2 linked regions of the Macaca fascicularis genome follow. Each later gene encodes a partner of the first gene's protein in a complex. Links are inferred from orthologs where the notes say so. Each region holds a gene or a part of one and is shown on either strand. Other genes may lie near its edges.

Evidence for each region.
Region 2: CAPZB (region 1) and CAPZA3 share a complex: the UniProt entries of both Homo sapiens proteins name them as parts of the WASH complex. The link is inferred for Macaca fascicularis from reciprocal best matches to the Homo sapiens genes CAPZB and CAPZA3.

Annotation. Positions count from the first base shown.
Region 1 is NC_088375.1:215,725,769-215,729,590, reverse strand, and holds part of CAPZB (F-actin-capping protein subunit beta), read right to left. Parts: intron 381-3,822; coding exon 239-380; intron 1-238. UniProt on the Homo sapiens protein: F-actin-capping proteins bind in a Ca(2+)-independent manner to the fast growing ends of actin filaments (barbed end) thereby blocking the exchange of subunits at these ends.
Region 2 is NC_088385.1:21,536,660-21,539,880, forward strand, and holds CAPZA3 (F-actin-capping protein subunit alpha-3), read left to right. Parts: upstream 1-1,456; 5' UTR 1,457-1,760; coding exon 1,761-2,660; 3' UTR 2,661-2,673; downstream 2,674-3,221. UniProt on the Homo sapiens protein: F-actin-capping proteins bind in a Ca(2+)-independent manner to the fast growing ends of actin filaments (barbed end) thereby blocking the exchange of subunits at these ends.

The sequences.
Region 1 (3,822 bases):
TCGTGATCCACCCGTCTCAGCCTCCCAAAGTGCTGGGATTACAGGCTTGAGCCACCGCGCCTGGCGACTACTGCAATCTTGACTTATCTTTATCCAAATGGCTTGGAGGCATTTCTCAGAATGAGGGGTTCAGAGATCATAGCATCCCCCTCACTGCATCTGCTAGAGAGCAGCGCGGCACTGTTTGGTGTGATTCTGTACTTAGTGGCCCCGGCCACCAGTTGCTGGGAGGCAGTACCTGCACTTCTACCACGTGGATGGAATCCCAGCAGCCTTTGATCTTCTTTGATCCATCTCCAGCCTTCTTTATGAGGATCACTCCAGCAAAGCCATGATCCAGATCCCAGAGGTAGACAGATGAGACGCCGCCTTCAAAATACCTGCAGGAAACAGGCCAATGTGCCTGTTAGATGCTAAAGGACAGATCATCAGCCTGGGTCCCAGGCTGTTGCTCAGCAAAGATTCTGGGATTTGGGGTCCTCCCTGCAACAGTTATAGGAGCCGATCCTTGGGTGTGTTCTGATCGTTCTCTGGCTCGGGGAGAGGGTGCAGCATTTTTGGGGGTGTAGTAGGTTTAGGCATCATAAAGATGAACTTGAGTTTGGGCTCTGCCACCTCCCTTAGCTTTGTGGTCTTTGGTTTACTGGACCTCTCTAGGCGTCACATTCCTCCCAGATAAAGAACGCAGCACGAGTGACATCCAGTGACAATCCATGCAGGCTATGACTACTGGAGTGACCACGGTTGTTCGATATTTCTGTCTTTTGGGTTACAAGGCAGATGAGAAAATACAGCAACAAACTCCCTACACGCTGATCCCTCCTGACCAGGGCTCCAGCTGGTCTTTCGGAGCAACTTCCTACAAAGCGCTAGCCGGAAATGAAGGGCTCAGCTTGAGACAGTGCTTCCTCCTCAAATCCGAGTCAATACAAAAACATCTCTCTCTCTCTTTTTTTTTTTTTTTTTGAGATGAAGTCTTACTGTCTCCCAGGCCAGAGTACAGTGGCACCATCTCGGCTCACTGCAACCTCCACCTCCCAGGTTCAAACGATTCTCCTGCCTCAGCCTCCTGAGTAGCTGGGATTACAGGTGTGCACCACTGCGCCCGGCTAATTTCTGTATTTTCAGTAGAGATGGGGTTTCGCCATGTTGGCCAGGCTGGTCTCGATCTCCTGACCTCAAGTGATCCACTGCATCTGGCCCAGAAACATTTCTAATTATGATCAAATGGAAGAGGGATTTCTAATTACGATCAAATGGCAGAGGGAATGAAAAGGTTAGATGAGAAATGGGAATCAGTCTGGGATCCCAAACCCAACAGACCCAGGTCAACTACTGTGGCTCGCTGGGGCTGCCGTGAGCAGAGGTGAGGGGTGGAGTCAGCTGATGGGAACTGCAAATGCTGGTGATAACCAGCGAAATCTCATTTCTTGTGGCGAAATCTGTAGCCTCTCCGACCCCAATTAAGCCCCAAAAAGAGAAATCTCATCTCTGCTGATAACCAGTGAAACTGTAAGCAATCGCATCTCTCATGGTGAGCACATCTTTATCAGGAAGTCTGGGGCCTCTCTGACCCCTATTAAGCCCCAAAGCCCTGGTGCGGCAGGCGTATTCTGGGAGCACACCGCCCTCAGCCCCGGACAGCTGGGAAGGTGGGCCCAGGCTTGGGAGTCAGACGGACCCAATGACAGCTCTAGCACGCCCAGCCCCAGCTATGAGCTATGCTCACGCATGCATGCGTCCAACTGTTTACTAAGGGACCAGTGGCGTGAACATGGACTTTAGGGACTTAATCTACTTTCTATGGCTGTTGAGAGACAAACAATTAGGAAAAGTAGACACCTACCAAACGGTTAATGTAAAATTAAGTACTAGAAATTAACATGTATCTGTAGATTATGTCTCACCAAAGCTATTCTATAATAAAAAATACACACGGTAAATGTGAATATTTACAGAATGTGGGTGATGGGTATACAAGAATTCTCTGTACTTTTTTTTTTTTTTTTTTTTTTTGCAATTTGACAGTAAGTCATACTGTTCCAGACTAAAAAGCTTTTGTGAAAAATCAGTACGCGAATACACCAGAGTGTAATGTAACTAAGAGACCATCAGACCAAGGAAGCAAAGCATCCTCCCAGGAGAATGAGGGTGCCCTGGCTGGTCTGCCCTCACTCCAACCCTCAGACCTGTGGAGCATCCAGGAGGGCTGATAACTCAGGTGGGCTACCCTTGGCCCCGCCCCGAGGGCTCCCTCAGGCAGGCTGCAGCCAGCCCCTGCGGCAGGACCACATTCTGTCCCGTTCCCTCTGTGGCACTAACCACTGTGATTAAGCTATCAAACCGAATACACCATGGTGCGCCCACAGGCGAGTCTGCAGGAGGGCATATGAGGGCAGGGCTGCCTGGCTAACACAAGTGCCACTCAGGGAACACCTGTGGGATGGATGTGTCAGGTGCCAGATGCTGAGCTCATCACTGGTCAAACTGCACAGGGTGGGGAAGGGCCTGGCTCTGGCAAGGTGTAGCACAGGCATCCTTTCCTTCTAGAGGAAAAGGACCACTGGATGAACAGACACACCTGTGGGGCTCAGCGCTCACTGCTGGCAGAGGTGATGTCCAGGACACCGGCCAATACTGGCACTCAGAGACCCCACTCCAGAAGATCATTTCCTTTATTCCAGTCTGTCTCCAAACTCTCCCTTCTTGGGGCAAGGCGAGCTAAGCAGATGAGTGTTTTGGTCCAGGGCCCAAGGCCCCATCTGCCTCCATAGGGCCCTCCTGGTCTGGACCGGCCCCATACAGAGTTGGAGAGATCAGGCCATTCTGGAATGTTCCCAGAACACCTGGAGAGGGACTGACTGCCCCTGCTAGACCTGAGGTTTAGCAGGGCTCAGATGACTGGCAGCATGGGCTCCGTGAGCCTTTCTGGCTTATTCTCCTGGATTCTTGCAGGTTAACTTACGAGGCACACGAACACTACCGAGAGAAGAGCAACTCAGAACAGACCTGCTAATACCCTTCCTGTTGGCGACAGATGGCTTGGTTCTAGCACACGGTTTTCTCTTTCAGCCAGCTTATAGGGAGAGCAGCCCCACATCAAAAGAGGGGGAAGAAAAACAAACAAAAAAACCCTACTTTGCTGGCAAAAAGGATGGGCCAATAATTCCTTCTTTCCTTTGGCCATTCTGGAAAGAAGGCTTGCAGCCCAGGGGCATTTCATCCTTCCGCTCCTTCACAGATCCACACAGAGCTGCGGTGCTGTGCCCGCCCAAGGCTTGCTCTCCTCTGTGTGCTGGGACACTGGGGAGAGGCAGGTCAGGCTGCCCTGGAGGGGAACCAGGAGAAATCCCGATGGCCTGACACTGTCGACACCCTCCGGCGACCAGTTCAAAAGCACCAGGTGGCCCACGGCTGCTTCCCCTCAGTCCCATCCCTGAGCGTTCCGTTTCTTCCAGAAAAATAAAACAACCGCATTAAAGTTTTATAGGGTGGAACTGGCCGTTTCCACTCCAACGTCCCACCCCGTGGCCTGGCTCCCACTACAGGCAGCTTCTCCTTGGCAGGCCACAGTGACCAGATCTAAAGTTTCAAATGCTGGAGCCAGGGGAGGTAAAAATGCAAGCTCAATTGTGACCTCCTTGCGGGGTTACTATTCTTTTACCCACAATTTTAAAACTTACTGCAGGAACATCATTGTTTTTTAAAAAAGGAAATCTGAAAATTAGCCCACAATACCATAAATCAACTTATCCCATAAATCTGATTTTTCCAAATTCCCTTCCAGTCCAGATGCATTTTTATATAACTGTAAGCACAGCA
Region 2 (3,221 bases), on another chromosome or scaffold:
AAAGGTATGAAAGGGTATACCACAATAAAAATACAAAAAAAGAATTAAAGTTAAAATTTGAGAATTAAAGTCATTACGTAGAAAATACATTAAAACATTATTACAATCTATTGCTTGAAGGCATGAAGTTGGGAGGCAACCAGACTTCAAGATCATCTCTCACCTGATCTCTCTGTTTTAGTTCTCTAATCCAGAAAGGTGATCATATTAACCCTGAATCTTAAGGAAGGTGGCAGCATTAGATGAATTCCTAATATGTCACTGAACACGGTTTCTGCTACTTAGTGTTCAATAAATAGTAACCATGACTGATAAAGTTATTATTACTACATTAGTCAAATGCCCAGCTATACACACACTCAAGACAGTAACATTTTAAGTACCATCAAAAAGCATCAAAAATACCATGGTAAGTGTATATTTGGTATGAAAGAGAAAACAAAAAAAAATTTTTTTAAAGCTTACTTATCATAGATAAACTACAAAAGTTAGGACACTTCCATTTGAAAAACTAAGATCGAAATGAGATAATGACAATTATCACCAAAATTATAAAAGATATAGGTAAAAATTGTGCAAAACTACTCAGTTTCAGATTGTTAAAATGTATTGAGATCTCCTTAAATTTAATAGTTATGACTTAATAGAATAAATAAAGCTCATTTTCTTGTAAGAAAAAGATACCAGAATGTAAGGAAAGTTAGAAAAGCTCAGAACAGACATCGAACAAGCAGTTCAGCTTAAATGAAGAGGATTTAAATTCAGAACTCTTCGAAAAGAATAACAGCATCAAGTAAAGAGGATAATGAGGAGAAAGAAGAGGGGCAGAAAGAAGCTCTCAATGGATATTTCATTTCCATAGTTTCATGACCTGTAGAGCCGTTTCTCCTCACTTAGAAGTCTTTCCCCAATAGGTGCTGTTACGGGTTCCAAATACAATTAACTCTGCCCCTTTGCAGAAAATAATTTCTTGATACTCCTCAGCTGTTACCACTTTTCTAGGGAGAAAGCAGAGAACACACAGTGGTTTGTCGCCTTTGTTCTTTGAAGGTAGCTCACACTTCACCGTAGAAACAGTAAGCAAGATGTAGTACCTGCACTACCCTGCCCTTGAAACTGTTTGGCTTCTTACATTCTGACCATCTCCAAACCCACAATATTTGAAAATGCAGCTTTCCCTGATGTCCGGCATATTTCCATGAACTGCCATTGTATCTCATTTTATTTTTTACTATTTTGTTTAAACCCCTCGAAGCTTTCATCACAATGTAATGTGCTTCCAGTGGGTTTGGGTGGCTGCTCTGAGAGCCTGAGTATAAATCAACACCATTGTGATTCCTGAAGTTGCAAAGTGCTGTCACTCTTGAAACTTTGGGCTGCTTCTCTAGATCCCTGACAACATATAATGCACACAGAGACACACCACTTTCGAAGAAGACTGTTCAGGAGGCTAAGTTCTTAAAATCTTCAAAATAGGTATAGCTGGTTGGCTGGGCACCACACTGTCAGGTGACTGTCATTTTTTCCTTTTGGTCTGAATACCCATTGTGAAATCATCAGAGGTTCCACACTTCACAAGGAAAGCTTCTTATGACCTCATCAGGAGGCTCAGACCTTCCTAGACTGCCTGCTTTCATGGGTAGACACAATAACCTTCAGCTTCAATGTTAACACCTTGATGGGAAAGGTGTCTCATGGAATGTTTTCTTATCCTTTGAACACTCTTCATTTCAGAAGCTTTGCTTCTGTTGCAACCAAACATGACACTTAGCGTGCTCAGCAGGAAGGACAAGGAAAGAGTAATTCGCAGACTGTTATTACAGGCACCTCCAGGGGAATTTGTAAATGCCTTTGATGATCTCTGTCTGCTTATCCGTGATGAAAAACTTATGCACCATCAAGGTGAGTGTGCAGGCCACCAACACTGCCAAAAATATTCTGTACCACTCTGCATCGATGGAAATCCAGTACTCTTGTCTCACCACAATGTAATGGGCGACTACCGATTTTTTGACCATCAAAGCAAACTTTCTTTCAGATATGACCTGCTTCAAAATCAGCTGAAAGACATCCAAAGTCACGGTATCATTCGGAATGAGACAGAATATCTGAGAGTTGTTGTTCTGTGCGCCTTAAAACTGTATGTGAATGACCACTATCCAAAAGGAAATTGCAACGTGCTGAGGAAAACTGTCAAAAGTAAGGAGTACTTGATAGCTTGCATTGAAGATCACAACTATGAAACAGGAGAGTGCTGGAATGGACTTTGGAAATCTAAATGGATTTTCCAAGTTAACCCATTTCTAACCCAAGTAACAGGAAGAATATTTGTGCAAGCTCACTTCTTCAGGTGTGTCAACCTTCATATTGAAATATCCAAGGACCTGAAAGAAAGCTTGGAAATAGTTAACCAAGCTCAACTGGCTCTAAGTTTTGCAAGGCTTGTGGAAGAGCAAGAGAACAAATTTCAAGCTGCAGTCTTGGAAGAATTACAGGAGTTATCCAATGAAGCCCTGAGAAAAATTCTACGAAGGGATCTTCCAGTGACCCGCACTCTTATTGACTGGCAGAGGATACTCTCTGACTTGAATCTGGTGATGTATCCTAAATTAGGATATGTCATTTATTCAAGAAGTGTGTTGTGCAACTGGATAATATAAAGAATTGCTCCTGGTAACTATCTTGATTTGACTCGTTTGTGTTTCTGGGGAATGGTTATTTTCCTAAAATTGAGCAATCTGTGGAGATGTCTCTCACTTACCCAATGCAAATTTAAATGGGAAAAGTGTAACAAGTAATTTTACTCGGGGAATATTGATGAATAATGCAAGAAAGTGTAAAGTAACTGTGTTTCATGGTGGTGACCATCATAAAGACCAAGACATTTGTTAGAAACTAAAATAGTTTTATAGAATATGGGATTCCAGAAATAATAGAGAGGTGGCCAGGGTTAAGGCTGTGTGTGTGTATGTGTGTGTGTGTGTGTGTGTATGTGTGTGTGTGAGAGAGAGAGAGAGAAAGAGAGAGAGAGACTTTTGACTTTGTTTTGAACTGAAAAGGTATACAAATGAATATCACTCCACAAATGATATTTTACATAACTCAATTCAGTACTGGACCATCCACGAGAGGGTGAATTTCAATAAATGACATTAGGTTTGGATTTTCCACGAAACCAACAGATATCAAAAATCTAGCTCACATGAAGGACTATTAGTAAT